Linked DNA regions of Cricetulus griseus. The protein of the gene in region 1 binds, or shares a complex with, the protein of each later gene. Links are inferred from orthologs where the notes say so. Each region holds a gene or a part of one and is shown in the gene's direction. Other genes may lie near its edges.

The links.
Region 2: Mybl2 (region 1) and Tfdp1 share a complex: the UniProt entries of both Homo sapiens proteins name them as parts of the DREAM complex. The link is inferred for Cricetulus griseus from reciprocal best matches to the Homo sapiens genes MYBL2 and TFDP1.

What each region holds. Positions count from the first base shown.
Region 1 is NC_048599.1:16,452,945-16,463,993, reverse strand, and holds part of Mybl2 (myb-related protein B), read left to right. Parts: coding exon 1-9; intron 10-1,117; coding exon 1,118-1,210; intron 1,211-3,272; coding exon 3,273-3,493; intron 3,494-5,226; coding exon 5,227-5,386; intron 5,387-11,049. UniProt on the Homo sapiens protein: Transcription factor involved in the regulation of cell survival, proliferation, and differentiation. Transactivates the expression of the CLU gene.
Region 2 is NW_023276807.1:67,447,220-67,458,972, reverse strand, and holds the start of Tfdp1 (transcription factor Dp-1), read left to right. Parts: upstream 1-6,156; 5' UTR 6,157-6,284; intron 6,285-6,973; 5' UTR 6,974-7,036; coding exon 7,037-7,048; intron 7,049-11,753. UniProt on the Homo sapiens protein: Can stimulate E2F-dependent transcription.

The sequences.
Region 1 (11,049 bases):
CACTTTCCTGTGAGTATCTTCCCCCAGGCAAGGGCCTGCTGCAGCATGCTTAGAAAGCAGAAGTGAGGCCTGGAGGCTGGGCCGAGGTGGTGCACACCTTTAATCCCAGCCTGCGGTTGGGGGCGGGACACAGGGCAGAGGCAGGCAGATCTCTGAGTTTGCCACACAGAAAAATCTGTCTCGGGGGAAAAAAAAAAAAAAACCAAGCCAAAAAACCAAAAGCCAGAAGGCACCCAGTGAGAAGATTGCATGCAGCTGCTTTAGCATAATTGAGGTCCCAGGCCCAAAGGCAGTTTTGTATTTCTTCCTGCAAGGCAGGAGCACCTGGATACTGACCTATGGACCATCAATTTGACACTGGGGGGTGGGGGGAGACCTTTGGCAGACTTCTAGCTGAGGTTCCTGTGCAGGTGGCTGGTACCACAGCACTGAACATCCTGAGCCCTCTGGGGATGAGTCTTCCCTTCCAGGACTGCAGGCATCTAGACAGCACAGTGCACAAGGCTGCAACTCGACTGCTGGGGTTTGCTAGGCATCTCAGGGCGAATCTTCATGCTTCTTTCTGTGTCCCCCCATCCCCTTTCTCCATTTTTTCCTTGTAATCTGAACTCTGTAAAGAATAAAAAACGTGGGGCTGAAGAGGTAGCTCAGTGGTTAAAAGCACTGGCTACTCTTCCAGAGGATCCTGGTTTGATTCCCAGCACTCACAGCTGTCTGTCTGTTCCAGGACATCCAACACCTTCACACAGACACGCATACAGGCAAAACACCAATGCACAAGAACTAAAAATAAATCATTAAAAATAAATAAAAATTTCTCCAAGAAGAAAGCAGGAATCACTAATAAGTTCCACAAAGCTTTTGTAGACTTTGAGATAGTACACGTCACACACACAAGGTTCAGAGGATAGGAGGTTCCTTGCCACAGGGCCTGAGTTTATCCTTTGAAACAAAAATAATGCACCTGTGTTGTGGTAGGTCAGCCTCTAGTATGTGGTGGGTGCCTGGCATAGGACACAGCTACCTGATATATGTATGCCTGCATCCTGGCCCCTGAGTTCAGGACTCAACCAGAGTTCAAGCTTATGGTTCCACAATTATTTCTGTTCTATCCCAGAACCGCACAGACCAACAATGCCAGTACCGGTGGCTGAGGGTTTTGAATCCAGACCTTGTTAAGGGACCATGGACCAAAGAGGAAGATCAGAAGGTAAGTGCTGGCAAAAGGACTGCATGCATAGTGGGCTGTCACCACTGCCAGTGAGTCAGGCACTGAGATGTCTAACATCCCCATACCACTCTGCTTTTGTCCTACGTGTCTTCAGGGGAGTGTGTGTGTGTGTGTGTGTGTGTGTGTGTGTGTGTGTGTGTGTGTGTGTGTGTGTGTGTGTGTGCGCGCGCGCGCGCGCGCGCGCGCGTGTAGAGACAGGTCAGCCTTGTAACCCTTGACTAGTCTCATATTTGTTGTGTAGCCTAAGCTGGCCTTGAGCTCACAGTTGCTTCTCAGACCTCAACTTCCAAGTTCTGGACTTATAGTGGCCACTTTACCCCATGAATTACCTAGCTTTTAACTGGTAACCTTACCTGTCACATAGAAAATGGAAAGGTAATGTGTGCATGCTCTCCTCCATTGAGCTTACCTCCCCTCTAACCCCTTCTGGTGTTTTTTTTTTTTTTTCTTTTTTCAGACAGGGTCTCAGCCTGGGCTGGCCTTAAACTTGCTATGTAGCCAGGGCTGGCCTTGAACTCCTTGTCTATCTTGAACTTCTTGTCTATCTCCCATGCGCTAGGATTACAGGTGTTTGCCACATTTGGCATTTTAATACTTTATTTCTTTAGCGTCCATAGTCCTGTGAGGTGGGTTGTTTTCCATGTTAAAAGTGGGTAAACCAAGGCATAGAAAGGATTTGATATTCCCCAAGACTATGATCACTCCTTTGTAGAGCTCTGGTGCATATCCCTGGTGTTAGCCCATAAGATACCATTTCACCTTGGTAGGCACAGCACCCAAGAAAAGCAGGGGATAAAAGCATTGTCATTGTAGATGCGTACTCCCCTTCAAATGAGTTGTGATAAAGGAAAATTTTAAATCACAGCAAGCTGGGTGTGGTGGCACATGTCTGTAATCCCAACGCTGGGAAGGTGGAAGCTGAAGGATCAGGCATTTAAAGCCAACCTGGTCAACATAGTGAGACCTTGTCTCTTATTTTTTTTTAACTACGGAGAAATGAAATAGAATATTTCCACACAAAAATTCCCTTTTGTTTTCTGTAAGCATCTACTCTTCCCTGATTGTGGCTGTGTGCACATGAAACTGTTTATCAAGAACTGAGGAAGGAGCCTGGCGGTAGTGGTGCACACCTTTAATCCCAACACTTAGGAGACAGAGGCACGCAGATCTACAGAGCCAATTCAGCCAGGGCTACCCAGAAGAACTCTATCCAGAAAAACAAGGAATTGAGGAGGGCCTAGCTTGGGTAGCTATGATGTTAGGGTTTGTGTTCTGAGCAAAAGAGCCTTTTTTGTTTGTTTGTTTGTTTTTGTTTTTCTGAGACAGGGTTTCTCTGTGGCTTTGGAGGCTGTCCTGACACTCGTTCTTGTAGACCAGGCTGGTCTTCAACTCACAGAGGTCCGCCTGCCTCTGCCTCCTGAGTGCTGGGATTAAAGGCATACGCCACCAACGCCCAGCCAAGATTCTATTTATTTATTATGTATACAGTCTTCTGTCTGCATGCTAGCAGAGGGCATCTCGTTCAAGGTGGTTGTGAGCCACCATGTGGTTGCTGGGAATTGAACTCAGGACCTCTGGAAGAACAGTCCGTGTGCTCTTAACCGCTGAGCCATCTCTCCAGCCCTGCAAAAGAGCCTTTCTAAGAGGTGATTGAAGACTGAAGTCTAGCTCTAGGTGGCATGCATGACCTGGAGCTCTCCCCTCCCAATTTCCACAGAGGACTTTAAATGACCCTGTAGGGGCTGGAGAGATGGCTCAGAGGTTAAGAGCACTGGCTGCTTTTCCAGAGTTCAATTCCCAGCAACCACATGGTTGCTCACAACCATCTGTAATAAGATCTGGTGCCCTCTTCTGGCCTGCAGGCACACATGCAGGCAGAAAACTGTACACATGATAAATAAATACATTTTCAAAAAAAGTGACCCTGTAGTGTGATTGGGGTTGACCTTTTTACAGTCCTGCAAAGTGAGACCCACTGGATGTGGCAGTGCTTTAGTGGAGGTGATTGAGGGGCTGTTCCTTCACTGATATTTTTTTCAAGGTCATTGAGCTGGTCAAGAAGTATGGCACGAAGCAGTGGACGCTGATTGCCAAGCACCTGAAGGGCCGGCTGGGAAAGCAGTGCCGTGAGCGCTGGCACAATCACCTCAACCCCGAGGTGAAAAAATCCTGCTGGACTGAGGAGGAAGATCGCATAATCTGTGAGGCCCATAAAGTGCTGGGCAACCGCTGGGCTGAGATTGCCAAAATGCTGCCAGGGAGGTGAGCTATCTTCTGGTAGGTAGGGTGCAGGTGGGGGGCTGTTCCAGGATGTGAGGCCCGTGCTTGATGGAGTGACCTGGAGTACCGTGATCTTCCATATTCAACTAGCCTTGTCTCCAGGTCTCCCAGAGACCTGCATCAGAAGGAGGAAACTAGGTCTAAAAAGACAGTACCAGAAAAGGCAGGTTGTATCCTGACTATTAAAGGGAATATAAAGGAAACACTAGTTTCTGTCACCATTTACCACTTTGTACTAAATCAGGCTCTTGTTTGATTTTAGAGATAGGGACTTGCTGTGTATGCCATGTTGGTGTTGAGCCCAGGTTGACTTCAAACTTGTGACCTTGGCCTCATGAGTACTATGGATGTAGGTGTGCCCCACCATGCCTAGCCAGTCTCCATATTCATGAATGATTTGTTGTTTTTAAGAATATTATACTTGTGGGTTCTTTCTGCTCTGTGCACTGTTTCTGTCTGTTGTGGCCACAGTTGCTGGGTTGTATCTGCAGTCAAATGTCCTAACACTGAGCTGTACCCCCAACACAGCTGGGGGTATTTTTGTTCTTGTTCTTGCCCCCTCTCCCCCACCAGGGTTTCTCTGTGGCTTTGGAGGCTGTCCTGGAACTAGCTCTTGTAGACCAGTAGACTAGGGTGGTCTCGAACTCACAGAGATCCGCCTGCCTCTGCCTCTCGAATGCTGGGATTAAAGGCAAGTGCCACCAAGGCCCGGCAAAGCTGAATTATTTTAAAAGAGGAAACATCGAGGAAACTCCCTCTGTAGCCCTGTTCCTGCCAGGAGGTCAGGGTCAGGAGCTGGAGGTTGGGCAGATGCTCTGCTTAATCTGTGCCTGTCTGTGCTCCTCAGTCTGGTTACTCCAGTCCTGGGGCTCCTGGAGTTCTGGGAGGAGCCTTGGGATGAATTGACTCTAGATAGAATCTTCCTGTAAGGTCAGTTTGGTTTGGACTCCCAATCTCCTGGCCTGGCTGTTGCTCCCCTGACCTCTTTCCATCTTCTGAAAACTTCTAAAATATAATTTGCTGCCACTTCCCTCCCTGTTTTCTCAGCCTTACTTTGCTCTTGTTTTCTTGTGTTTTGTTTTGAGTCCCTCCTTTGTCACGGCAGTGTGATCCTGGGAGGAAGAATAAAGAGGAGGCCAGGTGATAGTGTCTTTTCATAACTTTAGTCTCAGTGTGTTTTTGAGGCCCTGTCTTGTTTCTTGGTTGGGGACTCAGAGTCCCTTCCCTGTGTGGTGTTGGCCTTGCGCATGCCAGTAGCCTCACCTCCATCTGCAGTCACCTTGGTTGCTTGGTCCTGAGTGGGTCCTGAGCTACCACTCTTCCCCCTTCCATTCCCACAGCTGCTGGGCTCTGACAGGATTCCCCCCACCACCCCCACCACCACTCTGACAGCTTGCATGCCTCGCTGCCTTGCCCTGTTGTGAGGCCCACCAGCTTGCTGTCAGTTCTCACTGCTGCTTCTTCAGAGAAGCTTTCTGGGTCAGTCCAGCTTGCACTTAATCCTGCCTTGAGTTCTGCACTAGCTTATTCCACGGAAATGTGTGGAGATTGCTAAGTCATGAGGGCTACAGACAGACTTCATTGTAGCATTGACCAGTGCTTTTGGTGCATTCGGCCAAACCTTCACTTACACATGTGGGAGAAGCTGCAGAAGGCTGGAGAAGCCTCCAAGAGACGGAGAGCTTCGTGTCAGAGGCTCCTGGATTTCCCCACAGGACTGACAATGCTGTTAAGAATCACTGGAACTCCACCATCAAGAGGAAAGTAGACACAGGAGGCTTCCCAAGCGAGTCCAGAGACTGCAAGCCCGTCTACCTGCTTTTGGAACTTGAGGACAAGGACCGCCACCAGAGTGCCCAGCCCCTGGAAGGCCAGGTGAGTGGCCGCCTGTGGCACAGTCTCTCGGCTCCATTCCAGGGTGGTGGTTTTGCTTTTATTCCCTGGTTATCTGACCCTATCTCCTCAATAACTTCCCCAGAGCCACTCACTCATTTCTACCCTGAGGTGTGAGTGTGGCCATCATGTTTCTAGGTCTTTCCTTGTGACAACCTACCCCTAGTTTGCCTGCAGGACAGGAAAGAGGTCATATAACATTCCTACCCCTTTCAGCAACTTTTTTCTCAAATGCCTTTCCAATCTACAAACTGAAAGTGTCCTTGCTATTTTTTGGTTTTTCAAGACAGGGTTTCTCTGTGTAGCTTTGGAGCCTGTCCTGGCACTCGCTCTGGAGACCAGGCTGGCCTCGAACTCACAGAGATCTGCCTGTCTCTGCCTCCCGAGTGCTGGGATTAAAGGCGTGCACCACCAATGCCCGGCTGTGTCCTTGGTATTTTAAAAAATTATTTTTATAGCCAGGTAGTAATGGTGCATTCCTTTAATCCCCAGTACTTGGGAAGCAGAGGCAGGTGGATCTACATGAATTCCAAGCTATCCTGTCTACAAAGGGCTACACAGAGATAACATGCCCCCAAAAATAAATAAAATTCAGTTTTATAGATCTCTGTGTGTATGTTCGTTAGAGCCAAAGTGGAGGACAACCTGTTCATGGTGTTTTTTCTTTTTGTGTTTTGCTTTTTTTTTTTTTTTTTTTTTTTTTTTTTTTTTTTTTTTTTTTTTTTTGGTCTTTTGAGACAGGGTCTCCCTCTGTAGCTCTGTCTGTACTGGAATTCGTTATGCTGACCAGGCTGGCCTCAGACGCTTGGATCCTACTGCCTCTGCCTCCTCGTACTAGAATTAAAGGTATGCACCACCATGCCTGACCTTCAGGGGCCAACTTGTAGGAGCCGACTGTCTCCTCCTATCATCTGAGTTTCAGCTCATTTACCTGCTGAGCCATCTCTCCAGCCTGTGTATGTGTGCACCATGTGCCTGTAGGAGCCCACAGAGATCAGGTGAGGGCACCGGATCCCCTAAAAACTGAAGTTACCGGAAGGTTGTGAGCCTCCATGTAGGTTCTGGGAACTGAACCGGGATCCTCTGCAAGAGTAGTAAAGTACTCTTAGCTGCTGAGTCATCTCTCTGGCTCCTCATTTGCCATTTTAAAAAGGGTCAGATTTATTGAGAGAAAACATGGCATTCAGCATATATTCTGAATTATGTATTTGTAGCCACTTTGCCACCTCCATTCCAGTCATTCCAGTGTTCACCTGTTCATATACCACCATGGCTCCCCATTGCCATCTACAACTGTGGTTCTCAACCTGTGGGTCGTTTTTCATGGTATGGTGGGGGGTTGGCTGGCCATTTCACAGAGGTCACCTAAGACCATTGGAAAACTCGGCCATCTACCCAGAATTCCTTTGTGTGTTTGTTTGTTTGTTTGTTTGTTTTTGGTCAGCATTTAACCTCCCGTTATCTCCCTGATGTGTTTCTATCTTATAATTTCTACCGTTAGAAACATTGAAACTGATGTGTGCATGTGCTAAATCTCCACTCCCCAAAAAACCAAAATATTTTTTAAAGATTTTCTTTATTATGTATACAGTCTTCTGCCTGCACGCCAGCAGAGGTCACCAGATCTCATTCAAGGTGGTTGTGAGCCACCATGTAGTTGCCGGAAATTAAACTCGGGACCTCTGTGCTCTTAACCACTGAGCCATCTCTCCAGCCCCCCAAAACTATATTTTTTTGTCTTAAAATAATTTTATTTGAGCCAGGCAGTGGCAGCACATGCTTTTAATCCCAGCACTGGGGAGGCAGAGACAGGCAGATCTCTGTGAGTTCAAGGCCATCCTGGTCTATAGAGTGAGTTCTAGGACAGGCTCCAAAGCCACAGATGATTTATGTTCATGTACATGTATGTGAGTCAATGGCACATGCATAGCTGTCAAAGGATAACTTTTGGGTCTCAGTTCTCCTTTTACCATGGATTCTGGAAACCGAACTCAAGTTGTCAGGCTTGAGTAGCAATCACTTTTGCCCACTGAGCTGTCTTGCTGCGCATCCTAACCACCCATCCCTGTGGTCCTTTTTTTGTTTGTTTTTGTTTACTCATGTAAAATGGTGACTTAATAGAATGGATTACAGGTTTTCAGGCTGTGATCCACCTAGTCCAACAGTGCCTGTCTACCAGTGGACAGTCCAAGAGTCAATCCAGTAGTTGTGCAGTCCACAAGACTGGGTGTCCCAGTTGTTCTTCAGGGTACACTGGAAACCTGAAGAAGTTGACTTCAATGCCATTGAAGGAATGGACTTGCAAGTGAGAGTGAGAGCAAGCTGGCAAAGGGCAAAAGCTTCCTTCTTCTATGTCCAGAAGGAAGATTAAAGGTGGATCTTCCCAACACAAAAGTTCTGAGTTAGAAGTGGTTCTTTCCACTTCAGATGATTTAATTAAGAAAAATCCCTCACAGTGTATCCAGCTGCTTGGGTTTTAGTTAATTCCAGCTATAGTCAGGTTGACAATCAAGGATAGCCATCACAAGTCTACCCATTATCAACTTGACACATACCTCCTTAAGTCATGTTTAATTTCCAAATGAAACAATAGCCAGGTTATAATTACATCTAACAAGATGAAACTATCCTCATGCAACCACAAATGCATCATCAATTTTAGAATAGGTGGAAATGTCCCCTTAATTGATGTTATATTACATGATAAAGAAATTGAGGACAGCCAGGCATTAGTTGTACATGCTTTTAATCCTAGCATTCAGGAGGCAGAGGCAGGCAAATCTCTGAGTTTGAGGACTGCCTCGTCTACAGAGTGAGTTCCAGGACAGCTAGGGCTGCACAGAGAGACCCTGTTTCTGACCATTCAGCCAATCCATTGGATGAATGAATGAAGTAAGTCTTGTCATTTCTCCTTCCTAACAAACTGTATGACCACGTGTACTGCCCAAAGTTCTGCCCACTGAATATTTCCCTTCTCCGGTGTCTTTCAGGGTTGTCCCAGAAAAGTGTTGTAATGCCGTAGCTGTCCACTTCTGGGTGGTGTCTGCTTAAGGTGCAGATCCATCAGTAAACTGGGCCCTATCTTATCAGTCAACCAATCATAGGGAACACACCATAAGGCTATAGGTGAATGTTAGGCAGCTGACAGCATTGTAACAGGAGTAGAAACCATAGGCATTTGGGCAACTTTCGTGTAATCTTGCTTGACCTTCAGGACTTGCTCAGGCCCAAACATACATATGAACTTCTATTTGACAATAAATTGCTACTGTGTATGTCCTACTTTATGACTTGGTGGGTCAGATAACATCCAGCTTATGATGGGCAGCACAGGGTTCATGGTAACTTAGTGTCCCATTGTTAAACATTCAGTTTCCACTAAGGCCCAATAGCAGGCCAAGAGCTGTCTCTCAAAGGTGGAATAATCGTCTGCAGATGATAGAGCCTTGCTCCCAAATCCCAAAGCTCTCCTCTGTGATTCACCTATAGGGCCTGTCAGAGGCTCCAAACAGCATCTTGTCTGCCACTTGACACCTCAAGTAACCATCGGGTCTGCTGGATCATGTGGTCCAAGTGGTAGAGCAGCCCGCACAGCAGCCTGGATTTGTTGAAAAGCCTTGAGGAGCCTTCTGTTCAGGCCCCAGGCAAAGCTAGCAGCTTTCAGAGTCTCTGGCTTTATGGGCCAAAGTGATAGACCCAAGTGGGGAATGTGCTGTGCCTAAAATCCAAATAGACCCCACTAAGCTTGTTTCTTTGGTGAGAGGGGCCACATGGAATGACTTCACCTTAGGTGGCACTAATTTCTGCATGCCACCACCACTCACACCACTAGATTTCTAAGAATTTCACTGTTAGAAGGCCCCTGGATTTTGGCTGGATTTATTCTCCATCTGATGCGTATATGTGTTATCAAGTCCCAAGTGGTAGCTACCTCATTCATGCTCACTTTGTTTAGTCAGCATCATGGCATCAATACAATGCACCTTGTGATATTTTGTGGAAGAGACACATGAACAAGATCCCTTCTGAGTTATGACACAGGACTGGAAAGTTAATGTATCCTTGAGGTAAAACTGTAAAGGCATACTGCTGCCTTGCCAACTGAAAGCAAATAGTTCTGACAGTCCTTATGGACAGGTACTGAAAAAGCCGAGCTGCGTACCATGTACCTCAGGAGATGTGTTAACCTGCTCAAGTAAGGACACCACATCTGGTGCCACAGCTGCAGTTGGGGTCACCACTTGATTGAGTTTTCAGAGTCAGCTGCCATTCTCCACTGCTGGCTTAACAGACAACGAAGGATTAATTTTCTCAATCAAAGGGGGAAAGGCAATATTTCAAGGGGTGGGGCGGGGTGTGCATCTTCTACTGAGGGTGGAGAGACTACTTCCTCAGGTGAGATAAGCCCATGAGAATCTGAGGGGTTCAAAGTTGTCAGCTTCACTAGGGTCCTCCCACACATCCCCTTCCCAAGTTATAAGATCCCATTCTTTTACTTTACTTCAGCTTCGGACACCCTGCAAGGCTGGGACTTGAATTCTTGGATTTTCTTTGTAATTCAGCCATTCTAGTGATGTCCGTGGTTTTCCATAGCTTGAGTCCTGTAACTGCTAGGGAAAAGATTTTCTTCAAGGTCACACTAAGAAACCTTTAAACCTTGCGGTTGAGACCCCTTTCAGGGTGGGGGTGGGGTGAACTTTTACAAGGGTTACCTAAGACCATCAGAAATCACAGATATTTACATTTACTATTCTATTCATAACAGTAACTAAATCACAGTTATGAAGTAGCAACAAAAATAATTTTGTGTTTGGGGGTGACCACAACATGAGGAACTGTATTAAAGGGTTGAGGCATTAGGAAGGTTGAAAACCACTGCTTCAGACAGTTATGTGCATCTGGAGCTGGTCAGTTTTACCACTTAGTTCATTGTTGTCCTTAACCAAATTCTGAGATGTTAGAAGTTGTTGAATTTTATTACAGAACAGAGCACATTCCTTTGTCCACTCTTCTGGAGATGTTAGGAGCAACCAACCACCAGCACCATCGTTTTCCTTGTTTATAGTCTCCAAATGCATTGTCTCTCACTGTCGGTGAATCAGAATGATCAAATGCATTTGTCTCCTTACCACAGACTTTCAATACATTCTGAGCTTCTAGGAGAGATTTCAGTCCTTGAAAGGCTTTAGTAGCTGTAGGTGTTGGCAAACTGAAAACCTATTCAGATACTTCCTTTCCGAGTGATGGTGGTACATGCCTTTAATCCCAGTACTCAGGAGGCAGAGACAAGTGGATCTCTGAATGAATGGCCAGCCTGATCTACACAGCGAGTTCCAGGACAGCCAGGGCTGTTACAGAGAGAAAGCCTGTCTTGAAAACAACAACAAAAAATTCATCCTTATACTTTTATTGGTCTAGAACCATTTCTGGTACCAAAAGCTCTATTAGTCAAAGTTCTCTACAGGAACAGAATTTATAAAATAAATCTGGCCAGGCGGTGGTGGCATACGCCTTCAATCCCAGAACTCCAGAGGCAGAGGTAGGTGGATCTCTTGAGTTCGAGGCCAGCCTGCTCTACAGAGCGAGTTCCAGAGAAACTGGAAGCTACAGAGAAACGCTGTCTTCAAAAAACAAAAAATGACTCT
Region 2 (11,753 bases), on another chromosome or scaffold:
TGTAGTCTATCCCCCACGGTGCTGGGGTCGGCGTGGGTGTAGTCTATCCCCCACGGTGCTGGGGCCGGCATGGGTGTAGTCTATCCCCCACGGTGCTGGGGCCGGCATGGGTGTAGTCTATCCCCCCATGGTGCTGGCATGAGTGTAGTCTATCCCCCACAGTGTTGGTGCTGGTGTGGGTGTAGTCTATCCCCCACGGTGTTGGTGCTGGTGTGGGTGTAGTCTATCCCCCACGGTGCTGGTGCCGGTGTGGGTGTAGTCTATCCCCACAGTGTTGGTGCCGGCGTGGGTGTAGTCTATCCCCCACAGTGTTGATGTGGTGTAGTCTATCCCCTACAGTGATGGTGCTGGCGTGGGTGTAGTCTATCCCCCACGGTGTTGGTGCTGGTGTAGGTGTAGTCTATCCCCCACGGTGTTGGCGTGGTTGTATGATGGCCATGTGAGAGTGACAGTGTGGCCTGCCAGGGTTCTTATGTGCAGGTCAGAGGACAACTTTCAGGGTCTGTTCCCTCCTTCCACCGTGTTAGGACAGGGTCTCCCTGGTTGCTTCTGTTGCTCTCACTCTTTCTACCGAGGCAAGCTGGCCTGTGAACTTCTGGGTGATTTTCCTGTCTCTACCCTGTCTCTCTATGGGACTGCTGGGATTACAGACACAAGTCCCTGCATCAGGCTTTTGGAGTTCTGGGGATTGAACTCTTGGAGTCAGGCTTGTTCAGGCAACATTTTTACCCACTAAGCCATATTGCCCACCCCTTTTTCTAGTCTTATTGCACTGTTTAGGACTTCCGATTTATGCTGTAAAGAAGAGGTTGAAGCATAAAATACCCACATTTTTCACATTTTCTGTTTTTGTTTTTTGAGAGACAGGGTTTCTCTGTGTAGCACTGGCTGTCCTGGATCTTTCTTTGTAGACCAGACTGGCCTTGAACTGATAGAAATCTGCCTGTTTCTGCTTCCCAAGTGCTGGGATTAAAGGCCTGTGCCACCACTGCCTGAATCATGTATCCACATTTAAGCAATTATTATCATATTTTATCGAACATTGGAAGATAAATTGTCAGATCATAACACTGTGCCTAATTTCATAACCACTCTCTTCTAAGTTACCCTATGAAAATACCATTGTTATACCTAACAATTCATTCTTTATAGCTTTAAAAGGGGTGCATTGAAATGTATTTAATTAAATAATTGTTATAATAATTAAATTCACTTATGTGTATACTGGGTTTTCCTTTTTTAAAAACTTTGATACAAATCCACATATAAAGCTTATCTTTTTTTTTTTTTTTTGAGACAAGGTGTCTCTACATAGCCCTGGCTGTCCTGGAACTCACAAACTCACAGAGACCTGTCTGCCTCTGCCTGTCAGGTGCTGAGACCAAAGGTATGCACTATCACACCCAGTGGAAGTTTATCATGTTAAGTGTACAATTTACTAGTGTTAATTTACAATGTTTCGTACACATTACTATCATCTGTTCCTAAAACACTGATATCATTGCAAACAGAAACTCTGCAATTACAGGGAGGGACTATACATTTCTTGCTACCAACAGAGCCAGTACTTATTCTGACTTTACCTATGCTAGTAACTCACAAATTTATTCTTTTGTATCTGGCTTATTTTACAGTATAATGTCTTCAAGTTCCACCCATATGGTAGCATATGTCAGAATCCTGTTACTTTATATGGCTGAATATAGTTTATGTGTGCATATGTAGTATTTTGTTTATTCCTTCCTTTGTCAATGACAGGGCTACCTTTGTATATCCAGGATAAATTTCAAATGGTCATTATTACAGGAGCATAAATGACCTCGTAGGGGGCATGGAGGCTTTTGTGCTCACAGACATGCACAGGGGGACCTGGAATGTTAAACAAAAAGGGTTGTTCCTTTTGGGGAAGGAATGCAAAACCTGTTTTATACCCAGAAGGCTAGAGTGGACATGATTTCTAGCCTGGTGACCTTTGCGCAATCAGAATGGCGGAAGACTTTCTGGCACCACGCCCTCCTCCAGACCCTTCTTGTAAACTGGTTTTTCTTAGTCAATCCATGGAACTCATCTTTACGGAATGTATCACATATAGTCAATATATAGATACTATCTTTTTTAGGTAAGGTGTCACATGTGCCTTGCAAAGAGTTCATTGTAGTCACTTCTCTGTATTTAGCTTGTTTTGTTTCTCAAAGAGATTTAGACATGCTTTGTTTTGCACATGGAATTGAGTTAATCATCACAAGAAAAATTTTCACTGAATTGTGCTGTGTTTAAATATGCCCGAACTAAACAACTCAGATTCAGACTCGGCCACTGAGTTGTGTCAAGCTGAACTGTCTCCTAGCCTCCTGTGGCTCATCTCTCTGTTACCCGTGAAGACTGCAGACATCCCCGCATGACCCAAAGACAGCTACATCATCAAAGACCACCTCAGAGACAACTCTTGAAAACTGGAAACCCAGAGCTTATCGCACAATTTGCAGGCATCTCAACAGTTGAAATGTGTATTTTTCTGTAGCTCGGTTGGTTAGTCTCTTCCAGATTGTTGGGGTTGTCTCTCATCACTCCTTTCTGCTTACATAAGCTTGGGGAGGGAAAAACCTAGTGTGTTTGGTTTCAGGGACTTCCTGAAGCTCTTCAATTGTTTACTTCCTGACTTTTTTTTAAGATTCATTTTTTTTTTGTATATGCATGGGTGTTTTGCCTGCATGTATGTATGTGCACCATATGTATGTCTGGTGCCTAGAGGCCAATAGAGGGTGCCAGATCTCCTGGACCTAGAATTACAGATGGTTATAAGCTGCCATGTCCTCTACAAGCACAGCAAGTGCTTTTTAACTTTGGGGCCATCTCTCCAGCCCCTACTTCCTGAGTCATAAGGACCCTTCCTTCAGAACATTAGGGATCTTCCCCACTGGTGGAAATGCTACACAAAAATCCCATTTTGCTCTTTGCCTCCCAGTGGTGAAGAACAGCTCTCCTCGGCTACATTCTTCTTCCCATCATGATATTCTGTACATGTGTTTGGGACCAAATGGCCGAAAACTGAAACTTCTGAAACCAAGCGCCAAAGTACACCTCTCCTTGCTTAAGTTAGTTCTCTCTGGTGTCTTTGTCACAGTGAAGACAATGGTAACTCAGGTACATATTGGAGAGTGTGTCTTCTTTGAAGTCCATTTATTGTAGTGTGTCTTGCTTACTCATCACCCAAGAAACAGGTCTGTTTATCACAGATTAAAAGCAGAAATCAATCCATCTTGACCCTTCCCCCCAGACCACACATTTTGTGCATTCTCTGGTTCCTCTGTTCAGCCTGGTTTCTGCATCCTGTCAATATGGCTTCCCGAGAACACTTTGAGTTCTGTCTGTATCCTCCAGTGAATTGAGTTAATGGCTGTTGTCATGTGAAGTCACTCCATGTAGTTAAGAAACTTGCCCTTGTTAAATATACACAAGAGGCAGGTGCCACTTCCCATCTTAGAGACCAGGATGGTGGTTTTCTTTTGTTTTCCTGTTACCTGGGGGAGGGGAAAAGAGGGGAGGGGAGCCAGAATTGGAGGACTCCTGGCCATTTGAAGGCCTCCATGCATGATTTCAATTCTGGCACGCAGAACCAATGTTAATTAAATGCTTGACAGCTTAAGAAGGTGGGGCTTAGCTGAAGTGGTAGGAGCAGGTGTAGTCAGCATAAAGGTGGTTAATTGTAAAGCCATGCGAAATAGGGGTGTCCAGTAATGACATGTTGCATATGACTGGGGGAGGCCTTTGGTCTGTGCTCCTCAAGACTCTTCATAGATGTTAATTAGCCCAGCACTTGGTACAGCTCTGACCTCTCTATTACTAATCAGCTGGCTGGGGTCATTCTGCTTTACCCAGATCACATGATTGGGCAAGGAGACGATTCTCCAGCTCTAGTAATCCTGGCCCTTACATGCCCAATGTTTATGGGATGGACTGGCAGATCCAGAGGCTTACAACTGTCTCCTGAAAACCAGGGGCCTATCACTCCATGCTTCAGAAGCCAGAGGTTTACGGCTCCAAATACTGAAGTTGGAGGTTAAATATTCTGGAATTTAACCACCAGCAGCCACAACACTGGCAGCTCCTGGAATCCTTAGCTTCCATCGACAGCAATGGCCAGTGTCTGCTAGTGCTGTAACTTTGCATGGGTGCTGGGAACCTCAGCACCTAAGTGACTCCTGTTGCAGTTTTCAACCCTAGAGTAAGACCATTACCCCTCTTCCAGTGTCTGGTACTCTGTTTCTCCTCTCTGCCTCGTCATCACCTTTGTCAGTCCTGGCTCTTGTCTCTGTCTCCTGAGTATGCTGTTGTTCTTGCCCCACTCACTCTCCGGAACTCTTCAGAGTCCCCCTGGTGGCTACTAGTGCTCCATTGGTGCTTATGGCTTATGTCATCATATTACCAGTCTAGCTTATAAAAATAAAAAAAAAAAAACGTGCATGATCACTCCAGAGACGTCTTTATTGGACAAAGGACTTACCCAACCCACTGAAAAAGTGAGCCAAATAGCTTGTTTATATAGTCAGGAATGAGGCGTGGCAAGGATGTTGGCACCAGTCACAGTCCTTCCCTGGGCCACTAGAGGAAATATTCCCCCACATCCCCCAACCCGTGTCCTGGTTGAAAATGGTCACTAGGGTTTACCAAGGCTTGTGATGGAAGGAGTCTGATGCAAGTTATTGAAATAACCATACCTTGAATATTGCCTTCTGGAATCATGGTTTTGCTTTAGCATAAGCAGCTGTGGTTGCAGTATAGCTTCCTCATGGCATCTAAGGAGTGCTCAGAACAGGATAGCGGCCAGGATGGTCCAGTCAGATGCTAAAGAAGGAAGGGCTGTTTGGCTGAGTCCTATGGCCAAGGCAGCTAGGCAACAGAGAAGGATGTGTCAATCTGGGAGTCAAATTGGCCTGTCCCTCAACATCTTAGCTTATTTAAAGGAAAGACAACCATGTAAAGGGTGCTTACACTAAACATCCCGTCACTCACATCCACAGTTCTCTGATAGCATTTAACAGCACTCTACTCTTGAGCCATATATTGTTGGGCAAAGCTGGGTCACTTTACCCAAACCATTTGGACTGATTTGGGAGGCCTAGCCTATTCTCTTCCCAGGCTCTCCAGCTTTAGTCCTAAGGTAGAGGTCTCCAATGTGGACTGTCTTCAGGCCTCAGGGTCTACCAGACCCCTCCTGGGATGAAGCCTACAGACTCTGAAATGACAGGAGCAAACACCCTTTCAGGATGCTTCCTGCCCTGAATCACTGACAACCCAAGTTCAGGCCATGTGGCTGTGGACGTCAATAGCTGAATAGTGGCAGGCTCTCTATGTCTCTGCAGTGTCCAATACGTGTGTGCATCCCAACAGTCTTCACTATGGCCTGTGTAAATGTACAAAACTCCTCTGCTGGGGGTGCACATACAGGTACGTTAAGGCACTCCTACAACTGACCTCTTTTTCCTCATGCGCACATAGCTGGCCCCTCTATTCGTACACACATACCTGTATTCTGTGCAGACATTAAACACAAATATACATAGTTGTATGTACAGGGGGTTTTCTGTATACATGTTCAGGCGTGCACGCCCGACTCATACTCTGCATATGCACGTGTATACAGCTATACTATCTGCATATACACAGGTGTGCCCACGTTACTCTTCTATGTGTACCTGCAGGTATGGCACACACCACAGATCTTTCTCCGTTGGCAGGTATCACACACACACACACACACACACACACACACACACACACACACAGACACACACACAGGCAAACACGTGGCCCTCTATTCCCTGCGCATGCACACAGATATGCATTCAGTTGGCCCTTGGTGTACACACAGAGGCGCGCACACACGTGGCCTCCATGCGCACATGCAGGCGCGCGCAGCACTTTTCAGTGCGGGCGGTCTCCAGCCGAGTCCCGCCGCACGCGCACGCGCGCACAGGCCCCTCCCCTATCCCAGGGCGGGTAGCACCGGCGAGAGGCGCGGGAGATGAGCGGCGGGAGGAGGAGGAGGAGGAGGAGGAGGAGGGCGCCGAAGGCGCGAAAAGGCGCGCAGGCGCGCTGCGCGGAGCGGGCCCGCCGCCGCCCACGTCACCGCGCCGCGCGCACGTCACGCCGGCCCGACGCTCGGCCCAGGGTGAGCCCGCGTCCGGCGCCGCTGGCTCAGGGCAGGGACCGCCAGGGCCGGACCTCCGGGCCGGCGCCCCCGCGCCCCCGTCGTCGCCCCGCGCGCCCCGCCGGCCAGCCAGGTGTGGCGGGGGCGCTGGCCGGCCGAGCGGGAGGGCGCGGGCTGGGCGCGCGGCCCCGTTCCCGCCCCAGCCCGGTTCCCGCGTCCGGCTGCATCCCGCCCGCCACCCAGCCTCAGCCCGGAGTCGGCCTCGACGCGGCGTGGCGTGGGCGGCGGGCAGGGGTCCTGGCCACCCTCCGGCTTTCTCCGCGCCAGCGCGCGGGGCTTGGTGGCCGGGCCTAGTGACAGGTGGGGCGGGCGGCGGGCCGGGAGCCCACCTGTCAGAGTGGTCGGCGGCTCCTTGGGGTCTTGGCAGCTCGAGGGCCTGCTGCGGCCCGGGGTTTGCCACGCAGTGTCGTGCCTAAGCTGGGGGCCTTGTGCCTCGGTGGGGCCTGTGGTCAGACGGGGCCCGCGCGCCCAGGTGGGGTGAGCCTGACGGCTGCGCCTTACTCTGCCAAGGGGTTGGGGTCTGGACCCTCTGCGAGTGGGAGCTGCTGGTGGCCGCAGGGAGCACTTCCATTTGGAGAGGTGACTTAAAATCCCCGTGTGGGACCTGCTTGGCTAGCTCTCCTGTCGGGATTGTGCAAGAAAGGCCCCTGCTGCCTGGAGGCCTGCCTCGTGCTGGTGGGGAGATGTTTCCTTTGAAATGCGATGTCTGTTAAACTTCTTTTTTCATTCTCTCTCATTAATTGTCTCCTTCCTTTTTGCCAGATAAGTCCGGTTTTTTCTGTGGCGGGTACGCAGTTACAGCCTTGATTTCCTGGATCTGGTAACATGGCAAAAGATGTAAGTATGATTGCTTCGTGCTGCAGACATGTTAGCTCACTGCTCCTTGCAGTTTTCTCTATGGCCGTGCGTGCATGGCCGTGGTTTATCCTCACATTTTACACGCAGGAGCTGGGATGGAGGTGAGGGATGGAGAGTCAGTAGGTGGGTGCCTCCCCCCTGCACAAGTGTTCTTTGTCATCTGAAGACTGACACGTTATTTGTGGTTGGATGATGTGGTCTTGATTTTTCCCTTAACCTATCTAGACAGTTTAAATTAAAAAAAAAATTGAATACACCTCTCAATTAAAATGAATGTGTGAGGGGGGTGTTGTGTGTTAGTGGGTTTCCACTCAGGACAGCTGTCAACATGGAACTTAGGCTGTACTTGTTTTATGTAGTACGCAGGACCGTAATTCAACTTTGATGGATTGAATATCAACAACTTGTTTGGGCACATTTTTCTCAGAAAGATGACATCTGGTGATTAATGAAACACGGTGGAAATGCTGGTTGGTTTAGCTTTATATTTATCTTGAAGCTACTGGATATTTTGAATAATTTTTTTTTTTGAAACAGATATGGAGAGTTAGGCTTTTAGGCTGCAAGATATAGTCTCTGTTGTTGGTTACATATATTTTTGCAATATCATCCTAACTCCTTCCAGCACTAATGATCTCCTTTTCAGTGTTCCTCAGCATTCACTGCCCTGTGAATGTTAGATTCCTGTATTTTCTGTGCAGCCTGGGAAATGCAGGCAGACGCGCTACATCATCTAGAGTTGTGCTCAGGTGTAGTGTGGCTGCGTCTATGGTGTGGGGCCAGGTACCGGTGGGTGCTGTGTCCTGTCCACTGACTTGAGGACTCAGCTATGCTTAATGATCCACATGGGTCAGACGGTGCCACTCTCCCTGTCATCAAGCACTTGGCTTGGGCCTGCTCTTTGGAGTTGTGTCACACCCTAGGAGATCTTGTATAGGTCACCTGAAGTCACAACCATATATGATACTGGCTTGATCTTGTTAGGTCCAGTTGTTTATCTACACCCATGTCCCCACTCTTCTCCATATGTATGCCCTAACATGTATGTGTGGGCTCAGCACATGCCCACAAAGTAACTAGATTTGGTAAATGGTTTGTAAATGGGATACTGGCCCCCATGCCTTTGTTAGGTCATGGTACTGGCACGATATTATTGCATTTTCAGTGAGCCAGCATGCTCAGAGTTTTGTCATTTTAGTTTTGCATCATTCACTCCCTTTCCATGTGCTGTGTCCCTGGGGAAAGGGGTGGTGCACTGTGAGGACAGGTGGTCAGGATCTCCCATCACAATGAGAGTCTGAGGCCAGCTGGTTTGGGGTTATCCATTGTGGTGTGGCTGGGCTGGTGCAGTGACTGAGTAACAGGGTGCTGGAGCTGACTCTCATCACCACACATATTCACACGCCACAAGCGTCTTCCCCAGTCAGAGGGGAATCAGAGACTGCAGACAGTCAAGGGTTGGGCCGTTCCTGTAGCCAACCATGTCTTTATATAGGATACGATACTTGTGTTTCAGAGAGGGACATTGTAGTCTGTGCTGAAGGAGAGGAAGTAGGCACCACTGAGTTTTCTAAGCACTTGATACTGGGGATGAAATCTAGCTGTAAAGTATAGCTGGACACCTGTGAGAGCAGAGGGGCTAAAGTCAAGCTCTGGGTCATGGAAGAGGACCAGGAAGGGTAGAGAGAAGACAACAAATAGCTAAGGGGCTTTCTGCCCCAGCAGATGCCCAGGCAGATGGGCAGGTGAGGGTTCCCTGTGAACTGCAGGCTGTGGCACAGGGCTGGCAGTTACCAGTGAACAGGATGGGATGACAGGAGCCGATTATGTTGACCTGGCAAAGGATTTCTCCCATGCAGGACAAGAAAGCTGATGTGGGAAGGCGTGGGAGTGGGCAGGAGAGTGAGGAGTGATGGTGGAAGTGGGGGTGAGTGCCTGCAGGTACTTGGAGATGCCTGCTTGCAGTGCTTTCCTGTAACACTGCAAATTGTCCCTGTGGAAGGCATGTGTATTGAATGAACCATGATGACCCTGCTGTAGGGGCTGGAGAGCCTGGTATGAGGGGGTATGTCTTAGAACATGAATGTCTTCTCCCAAGGTCAGGCTAATACTCACTGCCTGAGGAGTTGTGCTGTCTTACTGGGAAGACTGCATTTTTGGACTTGCCAATCTTCAGAAAGTTTCCACCTCATAGATGTGCCCAGAGGAGCATTTCCCAGATGACTATGAATTTGGTCATATTGACAATGAGGATTAACAATCACAGGTCTATCCCTTGTCAACCCCACACCAAACACATCATTTTAAATCTTAACATTCTATCCTTAGAGGTTCATCTCCTAAGGCAAGAAGCTTTTATACTTCATTGGCATGAGCCTCTACAATCTTGACATTTCTAACATTGTTCAAAACTCTAAATCCCAGGCTGTTGAGATGGCCGGCTTGTCAGACCTGACTACTCGAGTTTGCTCCCTGGGACCTACATGGTAGAAGAGAACTGACTCCCATAATTTGTCCTCTGATCTCCACGTATTTACTGCACCCTCCAATAGTGAAGACTGGACCAGTGCAGGACCAAAATTCAGTAGGACAAATACCAAACCATGCAACTCCATGTATGCTATCTTGGGATTGTGATGGAATCCTCTGGGCTGTGACAGGCTTGGGTCGCTTTGCCCCTTTAGTAACACTGCCGGTAGCACTTGAGGCTCTTTCTTGGGCCTGCTGCATTTTGTGCTTGCAACTTTCCTTGGCAGATGTTCCTTGGTCTGGTCCCGATGTATCTTGTGTCTTGAGGTCTCCGTTGCAACTTAGGCTTTCCCTTTCCAGCGTCATTCAGTGGCCTCTCAGACTATTTGCAAGGACTTCAGCCCTGCCCTCACTTATATTTTGCATGCCTATAAACCATCCCGAGGACAGTGCCAAGTTCTGCTACCAGCTTGAGATAGATGGCCCCTTCTACTATGGCTGCAGTGACCTTCTATGTCTTGGGAAAATACTTCTCTAAGTGGTTGTTTTCATTTGATGGCATTCTCAGTTCAAGCTTTTTCTTTGAAATAAGTTTTCATTTTCTTAAAAAAACAAAACACTATTATTTGTGGGAGAGTGTATATTTGTGCATGTATGTATGTATGTATAGATACATATAACTTTGTAGAATTATTTCTCTTTGCCTCTTCATGTGGGTTCTGGGGGACTGAACTCTGGTTGCCAGACTTGCTTTTACCTGCTGAGCCATCTTGCCATCTGGAGTTGGCGTTTTTTTGTTTGTTTGTTTGTTTGTTTTTTTACCAGTTAGACCTTTCTAGGAGTGAGTCTTGCCCTAAGGATGCTTTTCTTACGTGCTGACTGTGCCACAGCCTGGATGCCATGCTGTCTTGAAATTTCCTCTACCAGACAACTTAATCCATTACTTTTATGTTTGGCTTCACTCTGATTTTAAGGGCATGGCCAGATTGTTTGCTAGAAGGTAACACAAGTGGTCTCTAGCCCAGTTCCCAATAGAATCCTGGTTCCTCTCTGAAACTTCATGAGCCTAGCCTTCAGTGTCCACATTTCCACTGACATTCTGGTCTTTTCAAATGCTCACCAGAATGGACTAGTAATTTTTGCTTATAGCATTCCAGGCATTCTCTATACAACAGGCCTATACAACAGCAATGGCCTATTCCTCAATACCAGTTTTCCGTATTAGTTACTTTTCTCATTATTGTGACAAAAGCAACTTAAGCAAAGGTTTATTTGGCCTATAGTTTGAAGGAACCGTCATGCTGGTGAAGGTGTGCTGGAGGTGCTAAGCTGGCCATGTTGTGTCCGTGGTCAGAATGCAGAAAGATGTACGCAGTTGCCAGCTACTTGCCTTATTCCTTTTAGTCAGTGTGAGGCCCCAGTCCGCATGGTGCCGCTTACATTCAGGGTGCGGCCTCAAGTGAAACCTTGCTGAAAACAGACACCCAGAGTTGTACTCCTACAGCATTCCAAATCTAGTCAACCTAACAGTGACGATGAGCCATCCCTGGTATCCTGCAGACAAATTTCATTATTGTAGCCTTGTTTCCAACCTATCCTTTCTGTCTTTTTAGTGGTGGTTTGACATGTTGTAGAGTTGTAGACAGTTGCTACTGAAGAGGTAAGTTAATATGGGAAAAAACTACAATGTAGTTCAGTGGTAGCTGCCATAGCCTTTATCTACAGATTGAAACCTGCTTTATGAGAGGAGTCCACTTGCTTCAGTTTTCTGCATGCATTGTCCCCAGGATATCCAATTCTGATTTTATGGCTGGATGGAAAACAGAAAGACACTTGGACATGGCAGTCTCCTAGATTTCAAGTGATCTCTTCATAGCAAAGAGAGATGGTGTTGGTGTATAGGGCCAGGTTTTAGCTGCTCAAGTCTGGCGTGTAAAGGTTGTTCAGGAGGGCCTGTTGGCATTAGCATTCTGGGAAGAGGGAGGCTGGAATCTGGAGGTGGAAGAGCCCCTGGCCCTTTTGCCATGAACATATAGATTGCTGGGGGTTCTGTGGTTTCCAGGATCAGTCTTTTTTTTTTTTTTTTTGGTTTTTCAAGACAGGGTTTCTCTGTGGCTTTGGAGGCTGTCCTGGAACTAGCTCTTGTGGACCAGACTGGTCTCGAACTCACAGAGATCCGCCTGCCTCTGTCTCCAGAGTGCTGGGATTAAAGGCA